Lepisosteus oculatus: one gene and its partners. The protein of the gene in region 3 interacts with the protein of the main gene of each other region in a biochemical or structural test. Links are inferred from orthologs where the notes say so. Each region holds a gene or a part of one and is shown on either strand. Other genes may lie near its edges.

Region 1 (8,095 bases), on a different chromosome or scaffold from region 3:
GTGAGTCTGCACGCCGGGCGTCAGGACCCGGGCGGGGTCTGGAAGCCCAGCCCGGTCGTGTTGCGCAGGGAGGAAGGGTGGAGCTGTCGTGGGGAGGTAGGGAATGTGATTTTGTCGCGCACGACTCCTCTCCAGCTGTGACAGCTGACTAGCCCTGCTGTGATTAGGAGCTACAGTCCCAGCAGGAGCTTGGTGAGGTGGGAGAAGACTGGACTGTGAAGTGACCAAGGGGCAGGGAGGGGTCAGTCTCTGGAGATCGAGCAGAGCCGGGCTAGGGGTTGAATCCTGGTCCCGAGTCGATCCTGGGGAGTCACTCCGATGGGCTGTTGTGCTTTGCAGAACCCTGCTGCCGATGCCCCCAAGAGAGACTACAGTCTGCTGCCCCTGCTGGCCGCCCCTCCTGCTGTCGGACAGCTGATTGCCTTTAAGGTAAGACGGGGATTAAAAATAAACTACATTTTTAGTGGGTTGCCTTTTTCAAATTGGGGAATTGTTGATCCTCAAGAAAATGGGTCACTTCTGGATCCGGATGGCCGGGTCTATTCTCGTTCGAGTGGGGAATGAATTTGAGTAGTACGTTTTGAGGTTGAGAGTTGTGGGGAGAAACCTATCAGCCTAATCAGTCAGTGTTCATTATCTTCTCGCTCTGTGTACAAAGGTCAGAGGTTTTGGTTTAACCAGCTTTTAATTTTCCCTCCAAAGAGAGGTTTAAGACATGGCTCTGTGCAGAATGTACAGCCTCAGTGACACCTCCTGCTCCTCTCTCTCCATCTCCTTGAAACGCAGTTGCTGGAGCTGACTGAAAACTACTCGCCGGAGGTCTCCGACTACAAGGCAAGTCCCTGTTCTTGATGCAGGGCTTTAAGAGGAAGGTGGTGGGGTCCACATGCTGGTCTGGGGAGAGCGGTTCTGCGATTGAGCTCGGATGCTCCTGCCTGTGGTTATGGAAATTGTGCAGAACCCCTGAAATCTGAGCTTAACGTCTCGACGGTCCCAGTTTCTAACCGTCTGCTCATCCTGCCATCTTCCTGCCTGTCCTTGCCCCCTCAGGAGGGGAGGATCGTCGGCTTCGACCAGAGCACCAGGCAGCTGGAGCTGGAGCTGCTGTCGTCCGCCCCAGGTACCGCGTGACTGAGCTGGGACAGCCCGCTCCAGCAGAACCGATCCTGGGCTTTCTCTTTCAGGTTCCTCTGGGGAGGTGCGAGACGGACATGGGCCGGGGAACCTGCAGTGTTACAACACTAGAACAGGAAGTGAAGACGGGGTCTGAGCGCTGCAGTCTTGGGGGGGGGGGGGGCTCTTGAAGGGTCTCGGGTTGAAAACTGATTTTCCTCCTGAGGCTTTGCATTGTGCTTCAGCTGGCTGAGAGGAGCGAAGGACTGGAATTTGTACTGTGGGGCTGCAGTCTGATCATTGTCGGGTGCCGTTGTCCTGAGGAAACAGAGAAGTGGATCTGTGCCTATTTATCGTCATGCCTCCGTTAGTTGAAGTTTAGGTGGCAGGTGGTGCTACGTGCTAGAGCCAACAGCTGTGAACATCTGGAGTGGCTCAGTTGCGTGCAGTACAAGCAGCCTGCCGGAGTTGGGGGGCCTGGGGATTTGCACTGGGGGTGCAGACGGGTTTGGTTAGTCCTCCCCCACTCCTCGCCAGAACCTGTTCTCCTAAAGCTGCCGTCTCGTTGGCGGTTGAGCTGTTTGGGTTTTAACTGGTGTCACCCTGGCTTCCCAGCAGCCCCAGCCGAGCCGGGGAAGTTCGATCTGGTGTACCACACGCCCGACGGCGCCGAGATCGTGGAGTACGCCGTCTCGCGGGGCTCTAAGGTAACCGCCGGTGTTATGGCCGCGTGATCATGGCGGGGGGCGCGGGGGGGCGGGGGTCCCCCCTGTGGGCGTGCCGCGTGACTGAGCCCTGCGGTGTCTTGCAGCTGACGGAGCGCTGGGACTCTCTGCTGGAGCCGCGGCTGATCGTGGACGGCGCAGAGGGAGGCCTGGCCGGCGCCGCAGACTGACCAGGAGTCCGGGCCGCGACGCCGCTCGCCTCGAGGAAACTCCCTTTTAGGACTTTTTTTTTTTAATACTGTGAACTGGTTTATAGCGGCTCTTACTGCAATAAGAGTGCTTTTTTGTATAAAGTTACAATTGAGCAAGTTTTAGTTAATAAATGTTCCTTTTCAAAGCTACCCTGTAGCAGCTGGGCTCCTGGTGGCCGTGTCTCGGCAAGGCGGGGTGTAGTTCCCCTTTCCTGCCAGCAGGGGGCGCTTTGGGGAGCGTTTGTGCTAAAAGCGGAGTGAGGGCTGTAAAGAACAGGCAGGCTGCAGGAAACATAGCGAAAGCAGTGGGAGGTCTGCGCCCGAGCCCTGCGTGTGCTCGGCTCCGGTAGGACAGGACAGGACTGGCCTGCAGTGCTGATGCTACACTGGGGCCAGAATGAGCTCAGTGGAGTCCCTGCGCTACCAGGGGCTTGTAGTGGGGCCTGGGTGCTTTGCTGTGTGACCGTGTGTGTGTGTGGGGAGGAGTTCGGGATGTCTCTGCGGCTCGCGGGCAGCCGGTAGTTGCCCTGGTGCTGTCCTGTTCCTCTCCCCTCCCGCTGTTCTGCACGTAGCGCTGCGCTCAGACTCGGTTGCACCACCAGACTCCTTCGTTCACTCTGATCCCTCTGCAGGCCGCTATTCCCTCCGTTTTTGTGTGGATACAGGGGTCTCCCCGCCTGCTCCCGGGGAGCCCCACGCCTGCCCGTTCTCACCCCGACCGCTGGAGAAGCCGGTGCAGTGGAAGTGTTTTACTTTCCCCCTGCTGGGTATGAAACTAGTTCAAGGGCCGGCTGGGTGTTAGGGCTGTGGGCAGGACGGGGGAGGTTCGAAGACGCTCTGGGCGGGGGGGGGCCTTCACACTCTCGGTCTTCGGCGCAGCCTGAAACCCTGAAGCAGCATCGCAAACACGGGGAACACGCTCCGCCTTCACAACCCGGCTGTGTGGCTGCTCCCGGGGGGGGTGTGGTTGTGGAGGAGAGAGTCAGGAGAATGGGCCGTGTGTGTGGGGGGTACAGGGTGGAGGTGAGAGGTGTGTGTGTGGGGGTACAGGGTGGAGGTGAGAGGTGTGTGTGTGGGGGTACAGGGTGGAGGTGAGAGGTGTGTGTGTGGGGGTACAGGGTGGAGGTGAGAGGTGTGTGTGTGTGTGGGGGTACAGGGTGGAGGTGAGAGGTGTGTGTGTGTGTGTGGGGGTACAGGGTGGAGGTGAGAGGTGTGTGTGTGTGTGGGGGTACAGGGTGGAGGTGAGAGGTGTGTGTGTGTGTGGGGGTACAGGGTGGAGGTGAGAGGTGTGTGTGTGTGTGTGGGGGTACAGGGTGGAGGTGAGAGGTGTGTGTGTGTGTGGGGGTACAGGGTGGAGGTGAGAGGTGTGTGTGTGTGTGGGGGTACAGGGTGGAGGTGAGAGGTGTGTGTGTGTGTGGGGGTACAGGGTGGAGGTGAGAGGTGTGTGTGTGTGTGGGGGTACAGGGTGGAGGTGAGAGGTGTGTGTGTGGGGGTACAGGGTGGAGGTGAGAGGTGTGTGTGTGTGGGGGTACAGGGTGGAGGTGAGAGGTGTGTGTGTGTGGGGGTACAGGGTGGAGGTGAGAGGTGTGTGTGTGTGGGGGTGCAGTGTGGAGGTGAGAGGTGTGTGTGTGGGGGTGCAGTGTGGAGGTGAGAGGTGTGTGTGTGGGGGTACAGTGTGGAGGTGAGAGGTGTGTGGGGGTACAGTGTGGAGGAGAGAGGCAGGAGACCAGGCTGTGTGTGTGGGGGGGTACAGTGTGAAGGTGAGAGGTCTGTGGGGGTACAGTGTGGAGGAGAGAGGCAGGAGACCAGGCTGTGTGTGTGGGGGTACAGTGTGAAGGTGAGAGGTGTGTGGGGGTACAGTGTGGAGGACAACCGGGGCTCCCGCCTCATGTTTCAGCCGCTAATGGAAACACTCGCTGCTCTGATGCGCCGACCGCACGCTTGCTGAGCCTTAAATCATGAAAGTTCAGTGCTTCTTTCTGGCTTGCTGGCCTTCTGCGTTGCAATAAAAAGGAAAGATCACGCTGTGGAGGCGAGTCCTGGCGCGGGGTTAGTCCTGGGTCCAGTTTTTTTTTTCCGTGAGATGTAACTAAAACACCCCCGCGCACACACACGCACAAATAATTGAAAGACCAGGCGTGAATTTCTGTTCTAATAGACAATGCAAAAATGGGATCTGTGAAACACCGCGATCTTAACTCCAGCAAAATCAGGTTTAATTTGTTTTTTTTGTGTGGTCGATGTAACCAGCTTTTACCGGGACCGAACTGAAGTCCGGCAATCGGCTGCTACTGCCACACGCAGCTGGTCCAGCAGGGATGGACAGGTCAGTGTGTCCAGTCGGAGGTCTGGCCTTGAAGGGCAGGTTTCGCCTGTCCGTCCTGGAGAGATTTGTACGTCTCGCAAGTTTGCTGCATAAACCATCTTGCAGAACGTGTGAGGACTGAGTTACAGTCCACTATACACTAGAGATATTCTTTTGTTCAGCGTGGGCAGCTTGCAAGGGCGTCCCCTGGAGGGGACAGCAGCAGGTCCTGGGTGTGGATTTCCGGTCTGTCCGCGTCCCCTCTCGGCAGGACGCGCCGCAGGTCGAGGTTTGGCCAAATTCGCGCGTTTCGGAGGAAAGTCGCACCTGAGCTCTTCGGCTCTTCAGGTGAGCGCACAGCCGGGTCAGTCTGGGAGAGTACGGGAACGCAAACACAGTCCTGATTCCGAATACACCCCCCACCACCCCAGAAACCGACTCGACGTGACGTCCCGTGGGGGGGGGGGTGTTTGTTTTTTTTTGGAAGCGTTCCATCAGTCTCAGTCTCCGTCTCCCCGCCCAGCGCCTCAGCCCTCGTCCCTCCCCGCTCCCTCCCTCCCTCTCCCCGCCGCCAGCGGAGCTCCCCGGCCCGGTGAGGCTGTGATGTCACAGCCGGGCTGCTTTCCAGCGGAGTCGAGGAGGAGGACGGTCATGGTGCCGGCAGCTCGGGTCCTGCCGCCGGCTTCCCGCTAGACCCCCCCAGTGCCGCCGACCCGGCGCCCCGGGATCCGGGAGAAAGCCCCCCGTTTCTGGAGGATGGACGGGCAGGGCAGCGCCGAGCAGGAGCAGCTGCTGCGCTTCTTGAAGAAGCTGAAGGAGGTGTTCGACGTCTGCGACCAGGATGCAGCCGGATATATTCGGGTCGAGCATTTCGTTCACCTGGGCTTACAGTTCGGGCAGGGAGACGAGGTGAGGCGCCTCGCCAGGGGCAGGGAACAAACCGACAGCAAATGTACGCTTCGGATGCGTTTTATTTTTCAATTGCACATCCTTGTTTTCCCAAGAAAACAGCCGACGTCACACTCCATCAATAATGTACGGAATAGTGAGGGGTTATTGCCAGCCGGTTGTGGGGGCGAACAGAAAAACCTTATTATATCAGGATGTATACAAAAAACACGGGGAATTGTGAAATCTGAGACCGAGGTCGTCGGCCTGTTTTGAGCCGGGCTGAAATGTTTTGATTCTTGTTATTGACTGACGTCTCTCAAGTTCATTCGCGGACGCTTTGTCTAGGACCTTCGGTTGGAAATATTACACTTTTTAAAATAAATAACGGTGTTATTTATTTTGTGTAGCCTGTAGTACAGGTGTAGATTTAGCGACTTCACTCTGTTTAACTGAAAATCTATACATACACAGGGTTATAAATAATTCAAACCAGGGTAAGGACATTCCCTAAGGTGTTTCTGTTTGCGTGCCTAGTCTTGCGGTCGTTTTTTTTTTCTTGTAATGGTCTATTTATGTATTTATTTATCGATTCCTTTAATATTGTAACTGGGCTCCACGCCGGGGCGGAGATCGCCCACCGGTTGCCATGGATACAGACCCGCTGCCCGCAAGGCTGCGTGGAGCGCGCATGGGATCTCGTGCCTGGTGCCTCGCGCCTCGCGCCTCCTTGAACTGGCAGCGCGTGGCGTCGCGCGGTCTTCGGTGACGACAAGCGTCCGTCTCCCCTGATCTGAGAGTGTTGTGAATCCGGAATAAAAGTCCTTGAGAATCGGGAGTATTGCAGCCCTCCAAGATCAAGGGTAGAGCGCCGTGCTGTTTAAGGCTTTGTGGTCACTGGCAATCAATATTGCAACATGCAGAAAATAGACCTGTCTGCCATTATGACATGCTGCATTAATCATATGTTTATTTTTCATTAATATATGTAGTATGAGTATTTCCAGTATTTTACATAGACATTTCAGAAGGTGTAGTGGCATGCTCTATATAGACGGATGTAACATAAGCTGTACTGAAATGGGTTACAATCTCAGGGGTTGGGGGGGTGTTTTGCATTGTAAATAAACACCATTGTGATCAATCAGCCCACATTACTGTCCCAAAGAGACTAACCTGTGGTGTTGGTTCCACACTGACTGATAGATGATCTTCTCCTTTGTTGTTCACCTTGCTACCCCGACAGCTGAATGCATGTGAAGGAGAGGGGATGAGCAGTGAGTCTGGACAGAAGCTGCTCTCTGTTATATATGCACTCCCTTCCCCTGACCTGGTGTGTTGATTTCCAGTTCCGAAACGAAGGAAAAAAATCATCACTTTTACAGCAGTTGCTTTAAGTGCATTCTCAAGGATTTACTGCACTTCAGCTGCTCTGAGCTCTGCTTCGCCACGGTGCCAGGGCTTGGCCACGCCCCTCTCTGCTTCCCCATGGTGCCAGGGCTTGGCCACGCCCCTCTCTGCTTCCCCACGGTGCCAGGGCTTGGCCACGCCCCTCTCTGCTTCCCCATGGTGCACATGCTTGGCCACGCCCCTCTCTGCTTCGCCATGGTGCCAGGGCTTGGCCACGCCCCTCTCTGCTTCCCCATGGTGCCAGGGCTTTGCCACGCCCCTCTCTGCTTCCCCATGCTGCCAGGGCTTGGCCACGCCCCTCTCTGCTTCCCCATGCTGCCAGGGCTTGGCCACGCCCCTCTCTGCTTCCCCATGCTGCCAGGGCTTGGCCACGCCCCTCTCTGCTTCCCCATGGTGCCCATGCTTGGCCACACCCCTCTCTTCTCTGCCTTGTAATTCATTGCATCTATATAGCACCTTTCATCCCAGTGAACCTCAAAACTCTTCACATGTGTGGTGCCACTTCACTGACCACTGAAGTGCACCTGGAGGACGAGTTACCTCGAGTGACTGCAGTAAGCTTCCTGTCATGGCATCAGGCTGCACAGGTGTCTGTGTGGCGTTGGCGCAGCTGGCAGCTGTGCCCTGGTTCTGTACCCTTTCCCAGAAGGAGCGTGAGCGTGCTCGTTACTCCGGCAGGGAGGAGGATTATGAAACGCGGGTAGGTGGCTCTGCTCTCTGCCTGCGTGGGCAGGTCCATTTACAAGAGCACTTTCCTTCAGCTCAGCTGTTCAGTTACAGGATGCTAAAAGGATCCCGAGGAGCTGAATAACCTTCAGCTTGCAGGGACAAGACAAGCTGTGCAATGCTTTATGAAAGCACTGTGCAGTATTTGACACTCAGTGTAGCAGTAATGCACTATTTCAGGAAAACGTGGGTTTTGGTGTTTTTGTTTTTCAGAGATAATGTAGTTAAATATGTGCTCTTGCTTGCTACAAAACACAATGATTTTTCGTAAAACTCTTACCAGGATCTCTGGGAAGGGAAGGCAGTCAAGTTAATGACTGCTTGTGCTGCACACATAGCTGGAGAGTGTGAAATACAGTAGCACTGTCCCTGCTATCCTCTGTGTGCTTCCTGTGGTGAATGTTCTCATGTTGTGATAGACTGACCTGCCCTGACAGTGACCCTGCCCTTCATCTGTCTTTGACCCTGACCTGACAGTGACCTTGCCTTTGCTCTGACCTCTGACCCTGCCCTTGCTCTGTCTCTGACCCTGCCCTTGCTCTGACCTCTGACCCTGACCAGCGTTATCTGTGCTGAAGCTCAGATCCATACAGAATTCCCGCTGCCTCCTGGACGGATAGTTTTGGTCCACAAGAAAATCTCCAGGAAAAGAGAAAATAATTCCTGACTGTTTTTATCTCTCTGGACCTGTAAGCTGTGTTTGTAATGTTAAGTATGTTTTCCAGTTGTTGCCTGTG
Region 2 (7,463 bases), on a different chromosome or scaffold from region 3:
TGTCTTCACTACATGCTCTGAAAGTGTAGTTTGGCTTAGAAACAATATCCATCCTGACTTTGACAGGCATTCGGAGAGGGCCAGAGAGATTTTTATTCCTGCTTCAAGGGTCTGGATTAAATCGAAATTTCAACTTAATCACAAATTCTAGGTGCCAATTGATGGGTGCTTTCTGTTAGGCAGTCTCCTGCCTGCATCTACTCAATGGACAACCTCCAGAAAGTTTCAGGATTTAAATTTGACACTGGCAGATGTCTCCAAGATTGTACAGAATATTGGCCAAGGTCTCAGTTACATCATTGATCCAGCAACAAATATTTAAAGTTCTACCAAGATGTTTTACATTGGATGATATATAATACAGCCTTGATCCAGTTTTTCAGTATCTGCAGCCCCCTGGCTCTGAGTTTCAAACCCTCGATTTAAAGTATTTAAAAATTAACAACTATAGAAGGAAGAGTACACGTCATTATAATGGAGGATTCAGGTTTCATTTAATTTGTTTTACTTCAGCTCTCATTTCATTAAAGCCACAGAGTTATGTTATTGAACTGCTTTATGAGCTCTTAACTGAAAACTCAACAAAAAAAAGGAAAATTTAACCGACCATAAAATTGAAAAATCTATGGTTTTGTAGTTCTCATTTCTGGGTGAACAGGGGGAGATTTCAAGATTAAAGTGCGTATTTATATTTTTTACCTGAAGACAATTCATTATGTATATTAATAATAAAGCATTTTTATATAATATATTTCTTCTAGAATCCGGACAGTGCCTTATAAAAGATTTGCTTTGTCGGTTGTTTATTTCAAAATAAAGATTTTTTTAAGCTATGTATGCATTGTGTCACTGAGAAACTTCCTCCCTCCCATCTTTTGTTTATTCTAAATGTTTTTTAAAAAGCAATACTTGAAAATGAGCACAGATTCTTGAATTCCACAACATAAGGCGGGCTAGAATGTTAGGTTGTATGTTTTGAACAATTCGCTCTTTCCCCGCTATCAGTGGGAACCTCCCCCTGCTGTAAACAGACGAAACAGCTCCTAATAAGGACCTGCTCTTAGCAGCAGCAGCGCTCAAAGCCTCTACCGTCTGTCCGTGGCACCACAGATCCTAGACGTTTAATGTTCCATATAAATTAAATCAAGATAAGCCCGTAATGTCAGGACAGCTAGTGTGAGGGTCCCAGCGTAGCGCCAACATCTGTTGAGCTATAGGACCAACCCCACAGACCCCCTTCTGTCACAGACAGAAGTCAAGACCACAATTATCATTTAGTAAGACAAAAGACCAAATTAATAAGGAGCCTCCTTATTTTAAGAACACTGGACAAACCAGAAAATAAAATGTCAAAACTCATCCACATCCGGGCACGTCCAGAACAGAATACAAAACGGGCCCACGGCGCCCCCTAGGAAAGCATCCCATTGAAATTGTGAAGTGTTTGCTGCGCTATGTAGGAAATGTACTTTTCGATGTATCGATACAATGCAATTAATCGTGTATGTACTGATTTCCTCATTTAGAGAAGGGCGCAATTAGTAATTTGATTCTTGACAAGACCGTATCAATTAAAGATGAACGACACTGCAATTAAAACCGAAATACCGTTTTAATCAAAGTTTAGAACCACCCCCCCCCATCGGAATTAAAAACTCACTGAACGTTAATTTTGTATTAAAAGCTAAGCATAGCCTGGAAGGGCGTAGATGTACGTATGTGAGTGCTGGGGAATAATACTACGGCGAAAGTTTCACCTTTTGGGATTTTGTGCAGTGCTTGTAGGTCCGGCTAGATTTTTAATTGAAAGGTCAGTCACAATTGTATAACCACTTACATCCTGAAACACATATTTTTTTTTTTACCCTGGCCCCATTGAGTTGCATAAAAGCGTGAAAAAAGGCACATAATTTGTCAATTGTATTTGCCTTTCGCGGTAACGACCACTTTTTCACCATTTAAGGCCGTATATAGAATCTGACACGAAGGACAGAAGATGGCGCTGGTGTCTCAAAATTGCGGGCAGTCGGTTCCCTTCATGATGTGTGGTTCACCGTGACTAAAAAAATCTGAAATCTTATTTTAGTGGTTTTATTTGCTGTGCTTTTTTGTTGTAGACAAAAAAAAGGCAATAGTAAAAAAAAGTTAAGAAAGCGTGTTATTTTTAGCAAGATCGTGCGGCTTCGTCTGGGGGTGATGGCGTTTCTTGAATTTACGATGGTAACGTATTGACCAAGCGACTTTATGTGAATGGAGAGCAGTTATTCCCTGACTCGATCTTTCTGCTGGCCGGGTCACAAAAAAAAAAAGAATAAGCTCAGGACTCATTATGTTCGTCCTAAATAAAAACTACAGCATTTCACAGTCACAGGACAGTGTGTCTTTCCACCTTAATAGGAGCCGCTCGACTGTCCAGTGAGAGCGCTTGTCTTTCAGAAATGATAAATTGCAATTTAATCTCTTACTACTTTTTAAATGCTTGTCGTTTTATTTATTTAACCACGTAAATCGAATGAGAGCAAGCAATAATAACTTGGACAGCATCCATGGTTTCAGCAGAAAAGTTACCGGGACAAATTGAGTGCGCTAATGGTCAAGGTGTGCCGACAGCTCTGTGCTCCCGTATCTTGAACCCAGGATACTCCATAAGGATAGCCTTCATCCATCCCTGTACCTTGAACAGTCACTCACAGACTCTCTCACTCCCTTTGGAAATTTCAGTGGAATGTATAGTACACAATACCTAGGACTAAATCTGAGACTTTTGGTGCCTATGTCTTTTCCGTCGCTGTTCCTTTGTTATTTAATATTTCCTCTAACTCCTGCAGAGACAAATTCTTTGACTGTTTCAAATCTAAACTCAAAACTCACGTTTTTACTAGGACCTATGTCTGATTGCCCTACATTCTATTATATCCTGTATTTAATTCTATTATTATAGATATTATACGAAACCAAAATTAACTAATAATAAATCAGGTGGGCAGCTGCGTCAGCATGCGTAGGCTGCAAAGGGACAATAGGTTTATTCCATGCTGAAAAGAGAAGAAAGAAAACGCAATGTTTCGGCCGTGGAGTCTTCTTCAGGTGTGAGAGAGACAGGGCAGTAGGCAAAGGTAGTGTAGTGGGAGAACAAAGGCTGGGAGGGAGCAGGGGACAGAAATCAAGAGGTGTGAAGTCAGGATAGGTGTCGAGAGGTGTGAAATGAAACTTCCAATGAATGGAGAAAATGTAGTAGAATAGTAGTCTGTCGTTAAGAGAAGGCGGAAGGTGTGATCCTAGCTGCAGGATAAGTTTGGTTTCGGTGGTCTTTCTGATGTATGAGTTCGGAAAACCGTCTTTGAGAACACAGACGGAGGGATTAGAGTGGTCGTGGCCATCAGAGGTGAAATGAGAAACAATGGGCTTGGAGAGATCTTTAATCTTCACAGCCCTGACGTGTTCTCTGAAGCGGTCTCCGAGTCTCCTTCCTGTTTCTCCAATGTAGATGGCTGGACATTTACTGCAAGAGATACAGTAAAAAAAGTTGCTGGAGGTACAAGATGCCATCTGGGTGATCCGGAATTGTCCTGAGGGGCCTTGAATGAGTGTGGTGTTGGATGTGTACTTGCAGGTGATACAGCGAGCTCTGTTCACCTGAACTACTATACTGGAATGTTAGGGCCCACACAGACCGCAGAGTGAGCGCCCCCTACTGCCCCCACTAACACCTCTTTCAGTAGCAACCTTAGTTTTTCCACCTTTAGTTTTTTGCTGCTTGAATACAGCGATTAAATCGACAATACGCCAACTCATTTTACAAACAAGCCTGTTTCCTAAGCAGATACGCGTCGAAATGAATGGTTGACATATTTCTCTATATTTTCCTAACAGTATTTATGATTATATAATTTCAGTGCAGATTATAATTATAGACTTACATCCACGCTTTACCTGTACCGTAATGCTTGTCATCGTGTTTAATCTCTTTAACAATTATGTTTGTGCAAACTTATCACTTTAGTTTTTTTTTACACTCAGTTGCATTTCTTTAAACCCGAATGGAACTTCGCTTTTAAACACGCAGGTCATTGTGTTACAATGACGTAATGCCTGTTGCCGAGCAATTTGATCCCTGATCTTTACCTGCTCCGGACAATAGCAACCTGTTGTAGAGCATTTCCACCAATCACAGAAGGAAAAGGTTTGATTGATCGGTAATTGGCCAATAAGCAACTTCGTATTGGGCAGATGGACGGGAGAAGGTCGAGGTGGTGCGTGATGAAGGAGGAAGTTTAGTATTGACTGTGAGTTAATAAAACAAGAGGTAGCACTCGAATTACTGAGACTAAGGCGAAATGCGATAACTGAAAGGAGCCGGTATTCTAAAAATGTCAATATTTTTTTTTAAAGCCGGAATGAAAAGACCTGCTTTCTAATGAAATGTTGTGGGCAGCGAATGGTAACTATCGATGAAACGACTCTCGTTGAATAAGCTGTACACATGGTAACTTTAGCAGCTGTGGACTGATGACCTGAGTTTGCTTAAGGTAGCAGTTTCGGTAAAAAAAAACCCGTTTAATTAATAAATCCTACTTACAAGAACGAACGTGGATGCGAAGCGGGTTACAGGCGGCAGTTGCGGAGGCTGGACATATATCGTGTAGCAACTGTTATTACCACGAATGTGTTTATGACGAGTATAGACTTTCCCAGGAAAAGAAAAAGACGACCCCGGATAATTTCCTTCGAAGGTAATGCTGTTTGTTAGGAAAAAAAGTTGACAAAAAGAAATTTCGGGCTTTGAAATTCGCTTATAGCAACGCGCTAGTGAAAAGTCCTTTGGGGCTTTACACGACAAAACGCAGAAAATAGACGAGTCGGTCGGTGCGGTACTGAACAAGTGCGCGGTGTGGCGTACGTTAAAAATATTCAAAGGTGCGAGGGCGACAAAATATTCAACATATTTTTAGATAGTGACTTTTACGTAAACTGCTCCAAGGAGGAGTGTTTTATGATAAGGTCACGTCATTGGTGTCGCTGAGGAATTTCAAGATTAAGCATTCCAGTTCGTGGTGTTTTCAAAACACTACAGCTAACGTTATCGCATTTTTTTAAGGAGTGGCAAAGGGTTGTGAAACATCCCAAGCCGTGCCAACTACAGACTTCGTTTGCGACTCGAGACAGAGAGAGGACCAGCTCGCTTTGGCACGGACACGGCGATACCTAGAAACTCGGGACAGTTCCCTTTGAAGTGCCCTCCGTTCAGCCTCTTCTAGCGACAGGTTTCGTTCGCCCGACCCCCGGACACGGGCCATGTCTCTGGCGGAGCAGAGCCAGCAGTGGTACCCCACCACCGTGCAGGTGACGGTGCTGCAGGCCAGGAACCTCAAAGCCAAGGGCAAGAATGGCACCAACGACGCCTACGCCATTATCCAGCTGGCCAAGGAGAAGTACTCCACCTCGGTGGTGGAGAAATCGCCGATGCCGGTGTGGAAGGAGGAAGCCACCTTCGACTTGCCCATGTTCCACCAGGGCAACGAGCAGCGATGCACCCTGTACATCGTCGTCATGCACCGGGCTCTGGTGGGGCTGGACCAGTTCCTGGGGCAGGCGGTCATCAACCTCGTGGAGCTGCAGGAGAACAAAAACCGCAACAGGACTGAGTAAGTCTCCAGACTGTTTCGGTTCAGGTGTTCCTGCTGGTCTAGCCAGCCTAAAGAAGTGTCTCCAGAGTTCTTGGATCAAATCTGAAACTCTTGCCCTCTTCTCCATGCCGACAAGTGCATCTTGCTGGGGAGTTGAACTCTGTGCTTTCAGAACATGGAAAACAGCCTGATTTTTTTCTCCCTCTCCTTTCTGTTGTCTGCCAAGCCCGTGCAAAAAGTTGCAATCTGTCCGGTATAGAAATCCTTTTTACCTTTGTTCTCACAGCTGGTCTCTCTTCACATTTCTAAGAACTTTAACTGCTGTAGTTTTTTTTTTTTTTGCCGGTTACTTGCCTTAAGTCCTGAAGTGTCCCTCCTCACTTTCTGGGAAATAGAAATGTGTAAAGTGAAGAAGAGATGTCTGTTCCCCTACGGCGAAAGAACTTTCTTTTGTATCCCAAAAGAAAAGCAAGTTGTACTTATTTTGAGAACTCATGAGTAAAAGGAATTTGTTAGCCCTTTTCGGAATACATAAGTAAAAGATTTATTTAATTGATTTAAAGACTGTAAATTGAGGAATTGGCTTGATTTCAGTTTTCCAACTGAAAGTAGTATGTACCTGTTAGATTGAAACTGGCTGTCCACAAGTATGTTATTTATATAAAGGAACTTAAACTTTTTCATTTACTAGTTGTTCGTGAAGGTAAATTGTATAATGCAAAAATAGAGTTCTTTAAGAATTTGTTTTTATGCCGCAATACGTGAGAGGATATATATTATGTTAGCGTTCATAATCCTTGCTGTTTTGCTTGTCTTTTCTTCAATTGTAGTATGCACAGTACTGTGGTGTGCCTGTGGAATCCATGAAGCGTTTGAGCAGTTCTAAGAAATGTTCCTTGCATATTCCTAAACTGTGCCATCAGACATTAGCCTTCCTTCCAAGAAAGGTCATCTTCAGTGGGAGTGGGTGGAAGAGCTATGAATATTTGAAAAGGCAAATATAAACAGAGGGGAGGTCCATTTTTATTGTGTTAATTACCAGTAATTGGAAAAGGGCCCCCACCTCTTTTAATCTGATTATAGTTTCGACAGTACTCGGCGGCATGACAGTGACTTGACAAGCTACAGAAGCTAGAGTCGTCCCCTAGTGTGAAAACTTCCTTATCGCTCACTGTTGTTTGATTGTTTTCTACACCCATTACTCCTGCTTTATTTGCATTGTAAAGTTTTTAAACCTTTTTCCGCCCAGTCCTGCTTTGGGGGATGAACCCATGACAATGCCAAAGAAACGACTTGGGGACTAGCATTAAATGTTAAAGCGTTTTGCTTTTGGTGCTGGTGATTAGCTACTCCCACGAAGATATTGTGAGAGAATGGCAGCAGCTAGCCAGCCATGTTGTTGAAGCCAATACCCTGATATCAACCTTATTTTTCACTAAATGGCTGGCTGAGATCCTGTGATCAATTAATTGCTTTGTACCAAAATGGCTAGATGTTCTAAGTGGCCTCCTTTCATTCTCATGTTTTTAAGCTCGGATGTGGACTTTGCTTCAAAACATCAGAACTGCTGGAGAAAATGGTGTTTGTCTCTGCAGATGGTGGGGAGTGGTGTGACCTCAAACCCCAGTCTAGCTGAGGGAATATTTTGTTGTTTTAATGTAGTATCACGTTTCCATTCAAAGTCTAAGATAGACCTGCTGTTATAAATATGGATTCTAAATATTTCTCCTTCATTTTTATCAGCAATTATTGTTCCCTCAGTTAATGCAGTTGGCTTTACTCTACATATGGAGATATCTCCTCTTATTCAGGCTATTACATTTTTTTTACCTTCAA
Region 3 (8,570 bases):
ATGAACGCTATGTAGGTCGTGAGATCTCTGCTGGAGAAATGTAGCAGTGTTTCTACCAGGTAGAAGGCTAAAATCCCTTAGTATTAAGTAGACTAGATTATTTAGCAAGGCTAGCAGACTATGTTCCCTGTATTTCTAGAAGATGCCTCCTTAAGCCCCTTTTCATGGTTAGCAAGCTTGATTAAAACCTTAAGCCTACTAAATCAGAACAAAACCTAAATGCTTGGCTGTGTTCATTGATTACCTTTGTAATCCCCACCATGTGAACAACAATAAAAATAATTTTAAATTGAAAAACACTGAATGAAATTGGGCAGGATGGGGTGGCAGTCAGCACTCCTGTCTCAGAGCTCATGGGGTCCCGGATCTGGTCCATCTGTGTGGAGTTTGCATGTTCTCAGATTATCCACATGGGCTCTCTTTGGGGGGGTAGTATCCCCTCCCCTCTAGAGATGTGTTGGCCAAGTTAACTAGTGTTGATAAACAGGCCCTGTGCACGAGCCCTGCGGGGGACTGATGTCCCAGCCAGGATGCAGTCCTTTCTGGCTGCCCCAGCTTCCTGAATGACTTTTACAAGGACTTGTAAGCTTCTTTCTTACAATGGATGGATCCATGACAGAGCCTGAGCTGTGTTTGTTTGTGGCGCCCAAGAACCATAAGTTGCAATTTCAAAAAACACACCTAGAACAAGGAGCTCCCTTGTGTCAACTTCCCTTTCCCGATATAAACTGCACTATTGAATAAAACCCCAGCAGTTCAGCTGCTGCTGATAGTAACACACTGTGACAGTCCTTTGTGTATTGTTCTAAAGTTGTACAGATACAGCTGTAAATAGACTAAACTCAGCCCTGTTTAATTCTGCTAAACAAAGAGCCTAGATACTGTAAATGCACACTAGTGCTTTTACTGCACTATAAGAACCTCAGTACACCTGTAAGAGCAAATAGCAATCTCAGCAAGTGGTAGAGTACCTTTCAGTTGTACAGTAACTCCACAAGGCTAAAACACACACTATTACTGTCCTGCAAGTGAATACCTAAACCTTAGTGAACAGCAGTTAAGAGCTGCTAAACAGAAGTGAAGGGTGTGCACATTCAGAGTAAACACGCAGGTACAGCATGTGGGACAGACTAAAATTGCAGGGAGTGCACTCCAGTCTGGGACCTGGCTGCAACTTAGCTGAGCAGCCCTTTGGACCCGTTGTTGACTCTGCCAGACCTGTGGAGTAGCCAAAGCTGACTTGCGGAGGCCCCGAACGTTTTCTAAGAACATGTGCATGCTACAGTGATTTGGGTTTGTATGCAAGCTTATTTCAAACGGCATCTGTGTTTGCAATGGCTTGCGATTCTCATGCCTGAGTAGCAGGGTGGATGCACTGAAGCACACAAAGCCTGCAGGCTACAGCATTCCACAGAGCAATGCAATACTTCCTGACAATGAATAAACCCCTTTGTTCCGAAGCTGTGGAAACATCAACCCATCCGCAACCCCTTTCTCCTGTTTCTTGTTGTTTTTCTTTTAAGAATCTAGGATTTGTCCATTACGATCAGGACTTACTGCCTATCAGGTTCCAGAAGGTCTGTGTTGTCACCGAGCTCCGGCTCACAGGATCACTGTAAGACACATTACAGTGGAACGCAGGTGATCAACAGGGAGATGCCTGTATCCGCCTGCTGCCTGTGTTTCTTCAACAGACTCTACACCCTCAGGTTAATCGAATATAGAAGTTGCGAAATTCATTCTTGATATTTCAGTTAAATATCAGAGGAGGTGAAGACTTAAGTAAAAATTGGGGGGAAACACACAGATCGTTGTCATTCTACTGTTGCAATTTATGGTGATGGAAGACTCGTGAAATGGCTTCACTTCAAACCTCCAAGTGAGGTTGACTCCAAGACCTTAAGCTCAAAAATAACTCCTCGGACAAACAACCACGGCATAGGTCAACACGAACAATTGGCAGAGTATTCGATTTCAAACGGATGAAAACACAATAAGTAAAACTGTTAAAGCATTGATGCCTACTTGGCAGAGAGCATGAAGAAATGATAATCACCCCCCCACACACAAAAAAGGGGGTCACAGTGACGACAGTGAGTAACGTTTTAAAACTAAACGATGAGCGTCTGCGGGTGTCCGAGAGTCCGCATTCCTTCCGCACTTGGGCTAGTGGATTCCTGGACAGTCAAATGTCCGTCCCTGACTCATCCGCTGCGAGTCCCGGACAAACACACACACCCAGTAATCCTGTTACGTGTCTCTCAGAGAATGTCATTGAGCAACGGTTTCTGCTTCCTCGCTAGAGTAAGACTGCCGCTTTGCATTTTAAGAGTCTTGTTGTAAATAGTGAAGAAAAGGACAGTATACACAATCGTACATGAACAACCCGACCAACCTCAAGTTACAATATGTCTTATGGTCTTGGTTAAGGCGGCGTACCGAGTTAACATTGCACAAACGAGTACAGACGGGCGGACACTGTCTTGAATCTTAAAAAAAAAACAACGTACAGAGGTCGCCCCGTAAAACAAAAACCGAATTACGCGAATCGCTTTGAACATCTCAACCTTCACCAAAGAAAAAAACAGTAACTTGTAACAGTGTCAGTTTCAGAAATAAAGGAGCTGATATCAAAGCTTAATTGCAGCAGAGCAGTTCAGCATCCTGTCAGCGTATTCAAACGCTTTTATTTCTCCTTACACGTTACAATGTGAAGGCAGCAGGTCTGGGCACATTATTAAGGTGTGAAATGGCGCCGCCAGCTGCGGTTACCGTCCAGCAGCCGCTGTGACAGAGGCAGGTGGGAAGAGGTTGTTTCAGGTACCTCTCGGTGTACCGCAACCTAGGACTCTGCTCCCCGGACGTAGTGTAACAACATGTCGTAATTTCGCCTTGATTTCTCAACTTTCAACCGTAGCGACTGTTTTTGCTATACGTGTGCTAAAAAGAGCCCGGGCACAGACGATTAGTCCCCCGGTCTTAATGGATAGTAATATTATTCACAGAGCAGCAGACCAGATATCTCGGGTACCTCACAAAAGCCCGATGAAGCCAGTGCCGAGCACTTACCGTGTGCGATCAGTGCAGCTAATGTTACTAACGCGCAGGCTAACATCAACCATTACGGAATGAGAGAAAACGATGTTTTGTAGCACTCCCTTTACCTTTGAACAAATAGTCATATTCGTCGTCTCGGGTTCCCATCTTGATTCCAGAATAAATCGAGCCAAGTGAGAATGAAAATACGGGATGGCAGCCGCACCGTGTTGCCCACTCCAGCCAAATTACCACCCGAGACCTGCAAGAGTCAAGAAGTCTGCACTTCCGGGGTCACAGCGGGGTCACCATTGATCAACATTTGTTTCTTAAATATTGCATATCTGTTCCAAAGGTGGGTGGTATGTGCAGTCACTCCTCTCTGGGCCACGATCTTTAAACGTCCTTCTGATACAGGTCCGGTTTACTGAAACCTACAAAGGCGTCTAAACGAAATGAGCGCAGCGTTTCCTTGGAGTCTATGACGTAATGCTGCCGGGCGCGTGTGCCTCTTCGATAGTGCGGTACGGTCCGCGTTCCCGAGATTTCGTACTATCCCGTTTACCATCTCTTCGTTGATTGTGTCTCCTGATTAAAGGAACACGCACACACAGGTTTTTGCATCCTGCAAATGTGACACGCGCACCTTAATGCAACTGTATGTATCTGCTGCCAGGGAAGACATGTAGTGAATTCAGCTCTCTGAGATTGCCAGGTCCGCATCATGTACGTCTAATACTCCCGTACGAATACGTACTGAAACGATTCAACTTTATAAACGTTTAGTGGTATTTACTGAGTGCTTTGTAAATCTCGTTGGTGTGTGCATTGCTAGATGTGGCAGATAAAACGACGAATTAACGACGGTGTCATTGCCCAGCTTGTTTTAGGCTCATGCAAGGGGGTTTACGTACAGGAGGTTCCATGGTGTAATGGTTAGCACTCTGGACTCTGAATCCAGCGATCCGAGTTCAAATCTCGGTGGAACCTGACTTTTTTCCCTACTTGTTTAAATAACAGCACAGCAAAATAGCTGGCATGTTGTCCTCGTTTTACACATCGAGGATACGCGAAATTGTTAAATAAAAACGTTTAAATTGAATATATTTATCTTGACTGCTGGACGAGCGTAAATTCAATATCGTGTCAACAGATGGCAGTAAAGGCGATGTAGCTGTGACTGGGGGCGCAGGTTCTCTCTACTCCATTTTGCACCAATCAGGCTGGAAAAACGGGAGCCCCACCGTGCGAAGATGGCGGGGTTCGAGCGGAGGGTTCCGGTGGGTCTAGCTTCAGCCCGACGGTTCGCTGAGATGCAAACACCGAGCTGCAGAAAGTCAGTCAGCTGGAAGTAGCGCCGGTCCTGGTGCTGCATTGTATGTAACAGCGGAATGCGAACGAATCCTCCCTTTTAGATTGTAAAACTTGTGTCTTTTCCGTTTTTAATTGCACTCCCTCACGTTGTCTTCTGTCCTCGTTGTACTGTCTACCGGGTTAACACGCTTACAGACCTCCGACTGCTGTGAACGCAGTTCTACAAGGAGCCTGTAAAGATGACCCGGTCTGTATTAATGCAAGAAGGAACAGCAGGCCTGTATAAAATAAAAAGTATGAATCCAGCAGGAGGCGGTAGTAAGATTGGCACGGAAACCTCAAACTTCATTAGAAAAGTCTTAACTATGATGTTGTTCCTGAAGTTCCCAGCGCATAACCCGAGTGTGTTACAGTTCTCTATGTAGCCACAGCGGTTTCTGTGACACTGCCCTGTGCTGACCGGATGGTTACTGCTGTAACGGAATGCAAACTCTTCAAGACGCGGCGTCCATCCGGCATTTTTTGCTCCGACAGCATTGGACCCTAAAATATTCTGATTTTGTGTCCGTGTCAGTTCTCAAGTTCGCCGGTCGCAACCCAGCGGTGAAAAAAAAAATCTGACACAAATGAAGTCGAAAGAAAAGTTGTACTAAAACTGACTACATAGCCATATCATGATAAATATTTATGAAGAATTTACAGGATTGTATTAATGAATACAGAGCCTTACAACGTAAGGATACCCTAAACGTAAAGGAAGTGTCCCAGACGTCAGTGAGACAGTTTCAGACACTGTATAAGGTACTTCAGAAAGGGATAACTTTTTCAATTAAGAAGTTAAAGGAAGGAAGATTGCTTTTAAGAAAGAATGGATTGGCTTGCAGAGTAACTGTACACACACTTCATAGATGACTCTGACAACATCTTAAAGTTTTTCTCTTCCACTATCTTGTTAATTTTAAAAAGCAGAATTGACTTGCCTTTGGAATGGGTTATCTTTTTAAGACTAACCTTCTCAACTCTGGGTGAATACCAGACTTCTGCATGAGCTCCTGTCACGGCTTGATGCCCAGGGCCGGCCACCAGACCCTAGACGCTCTCGTGTCATAAATACCTCTCCACCTGTGTGGCAGGGGGGCTCATTGCAATGTGACATGCGTGGGGGCTGTGTCGTTTCTGGGAGAAAGCGACGGTGAGCTGCTGATGAAACAGGCCCTTGTCTCTCCTTGTAGGTTCTTCTCCTGCTCTACCACCCCACCTGGCCAGTTCAGGTCAAAGGTCAAAGGGCGGGTAAGACGGAAGCCAAGCAGCAGTGGGAAATTTGGACTCAGTACCAGTCATATCAGAAGGCCCGGCCCCCACCACAGGTGGGCTCCAGCTGCCAGGGGCCACAAAAGAGTTTGGAGGGCAGAGGCGACAGGCACTCACGTCAGCGCCACACTGACTGAGAGGGCGACACTGACTGCCAGCCCGGCCTTCCGTCTGCCTCTCCCGCGCCCGCGAAGGACCGTACCGCCAAGAGCCTGGCCCTCTCCAAGCACTCCCGCCCCGCTGGCTGGAGGCACAGGTCAGCGCCATCGGCCTCGCGTGGGCTCCCGGCAGAGGCGCGGGACCCGCGGGCTCTCGACCCGGCCGCAGGCTGGCACTGGAAAGGCTTCGAGCCCAGGAGCCCGATGGGCCAGACGGCCTTGTTTTGCAGGTCACCTCCCAGGTGCCGCAGGGTGTGTGCAGCCTGCCATACAGACACAGCAGCTCCCAGCACCTCAGGGTTGCCGTTGGCTGTCGTCTTACTCAGGTAAAGCTGAGGAAACCTTACAGCTGGCAAGGCATGATTTCACTTACCGCTGCCAGAAACCGCCTCTATCACGATTCCGCGTGATTTGAACGTAGCGTGTGTTGTTTGTGAGATACCGTGTTTTGAACTTATGGAGTGCCGGCCTGCGGAGATGAGCACAGCGAGCTGGTAGACTGCAGCGCAGACATCACTATGACTTTGTGAGCTGGGTTGGGGTCACAGAAAGCATGTAACTGGGGACTGGCTCAGTGCCACCAATGGTGTAGATCTCTGTTTTGTTTGAAGGAGTCTGGATACAGTGGGCAGCTTCTGCACATTAGTATTCAGTGTGAGCAGGTCAAGACAGGTTTGGGTCTCGGTTCGCTATCCCCCTGGCGTAACAGAGGGGAAACTGCAAATAACAAAATTAACCTTTAAGCTGTGGATGAACAAATTGCATATTTGCTTCAGTGATGTCCATATTAAAGTCTGTATTTACCTTTTTTTTGTCCATGTTGTTTTTTGTATGTAGAAATATTTCATCACCCAACTTTGTACTTCTGATACAAGTATCAGAAGTACAAAGGGAGCTATAACTCAATAATTTCACTTAAGAATAGAGAGTGCTACCTTGTCTGATGCCGCCATCACTGGAAGTCTGCCCCACACTGAACTCTTCGCTTTTCTACAGCTTCTTCACGCTGAGAAGAGCGCTGCTTTTGTCAACATTGTCCGTGTCCACTAGGTGGCAGACTTGCCGCTTTCTTTCCAAGTTGTGACACTTGATCAACACATAAGGTCAGCTATTTGTAAGGGTGGGAAATGTGTCCTTGCGGTTGTCATTGTACGTGAATAGAAAATGTTACAGTGTCTTAAAAACACAGCCTGGTATATCAGGTACTGGGGCTAATCACAAAAAAATGACTGTAGAAAGCAGGGTTGTGGGTTCAGTTGTCTGATGCGGTTAAAAACAATTGAAATAATCTATGGAAGTTTTTATTGTTCAGTGCTTTTCCTGCTGCATGAGATGCAAAGTATTTTTTGATTAATGATCTGTATATTCCTCATCTGTTGTTAGTGCTTAAAAATCCTCTATTTTCTAATTAATTTTTTACTTGCTATTTTAAATGGTGATATAACTTATTTTAACAGGTAACAACACAGGGTAGGTAAGAGGTTAAGATTACTTTATTAGCCATATACAGTTCCTTGCATTAGGATTGCTCTCTATGAGACACAGACAAAAGCTTGGGGTCAGAGCACAGGGTCCACATGTACAGTACAGTGCCCCTGGAGCAGTTGGGGTTAAGGGCCCCTACTGCCAGCTGCAGCATTTGAACCAGCAACCTTCCAGCCATAGGCACAGATCCTTAGCCACCACTCCATCCCGGGTATATATTGCATAAAATGTCCACACCATCTTGTACATAAACACAGTAACCCACCGTGAATGAGATGTAATCTAAAGCGTGGTACTATCGTTGTAAATTAAATCAATTTCACAGCTCTTTTTCAAAGACACCTCTGTTCAAACCCAGGAAAAAACAGCAGTTCTTTTTCTTCACAGAACTGAAGAGAGCAGACAAAATATTCGGAGAGGGAGAGTTTTGCAGCGGATGCTGATAGGAAGATCTATGAGAGTGAAGGACTTGTATATTTTGCTCTTCGGAGAGCGAGGGGGAGAGAGCTCAGTGACACTAGAAACAGGCCGCTTCTCTAGTGTGAACATTTCTCTTCGTGACTTTGGAAAGTAACGGACTTTGGAAAAGTTATTTTCTAAAGTACATTGGAAGCCACGATCCCAGATCCCACCTGCTACAGAAGATATTAAAAGTGTGAAAATGATGGGCCTTGAGGGGGAAATTATTTTCTGTAGACAATAATTACTCTACTACAGCAAATGGGAGGCACGGTACTCTGGTAATGCACATACTTTTTTCTTCTATTGCTGTTAAATTCGAGGAAATTTCCTCCACAGAACCTTGATCCATCCATTTCTTAATTGCTTATTCTGGTTTGGAGTCACAGGGAAGTTGGAGCCTATCTCGGCAAGCAACAGGCGCAAGGCAGGGTACAGCCTAGAGGGGCTGCCAGTCTATCGCAGGGCACAGAACTGGTGCAACAAGCACACACCAGGGACACTTTTGCCAAAATTCACTTAAGGCTCCAGTGTGTCTTGGACTGTGGAAGGAAACCCACACGAACATGAAGAGAGCAGCCGAACTCCACAGGGGTTCTTTAACATTTAATAGACAGTCAGGGATCAATTTGTGACTTGCGTTTTGGGACAGGGTGGTACTGTCTCTGCCAGAGAGCTGGAAATTGCTGCCCTGCGCTCCAAGTCGTAACCTCTCTGCCACTGAGAACCTCCAGCTGGAGACTGTGTATCAAAAAATAGAAGTGTATTCTTGTGCAGCACTGGGTTCACAGCAGGACCGTGAGGCTA

The links.
Region 1: the proteins of rab11a (region 3) and rab11 family-interacting protein 4A form a complex in vitro, tested with the Homo sapiens proteins (2 studies listed by BioGRID, with this or other methods). The link is inferred for Lepisosteus oculatus from reciprocal best matches to the Homo sapiens genes RAB11A and RAB11FIP4.
Region 2: the proteins of rab11a (region 3) and rab11fip1a form a complex in vitro, tested with the Homo sapiens proteins (2 studies listed by BioGRID, with this or other methods). The link is inferred for Lepisosteus oculatus from reciprocal best matches to the Homo sapiens genes RAB11A and RAB11FIP1.

Annotation. Positions count from the first base shown.
Region 1 is NC_090704.1:46,849,360-46,857,454, reverse strand, and holds the start of rab11 family-interacting protein 4A, read left to right. Parts: upstream 1-4,826; 5' UTR 4,827-5,090; coding exon 5,091-5,243; intron 5,244-8,095. Other genes in the region: coil (coilin), read left to right, coding at 340-429, 787-834, 1,051-1,120, 1,729-1,820, 1,925-2,008. UniProt on the Homo sapiens protein: Acts as a regulator of endocytic traffic by participating in membrane delivery. Required for the abscission step in cytokinesis, possibly by acting as an 'address tag' delivering recycling endosome membranes to the cleavage furrow during late cytokinesis.
Region 2 is NC_090697.1:72,846,368-72,853,830, reverse strand, and holds the start of rab11fip1a (rab11 family-interacting protein 1), read left to right. Parts: upstream 1-4,150; 5' UTR 4,151-4,286; intron 4,287-4,292; exon of another isoform or gene 4,293-4,593; coding exon of another isoform or gene 4,594-4,733; intron 4,734-5,098; 5' UTR 5,099-5,295; coding exon 5,296-5,645; intron 5,646-7,463. UniProt on the Homo sapiens protein: A Rab11 effector protein involved in the endosomal recycling process. Also involved in controlling membrane trafficking along the phagocytic pathway and in phagocytosis. Interaction with RAB14 may function in the process of neurite formation.
Region 3 is NC_090700.1:47,579,129-47,587,698, reverse strand, and holds the start of rab11a (ras-related protein Rab-11A), read right to left. Parts: upstream 3,148-8,570; 5' UTR 3,116-3,147; coding exon 3,070-3,115; intron 1-3,069. UniProt on the Homo sapiens protein: The small GTPases Rab are key regulators of intracellular membrane trafficking, from the formation of transport vesicles to their fusion with membranes.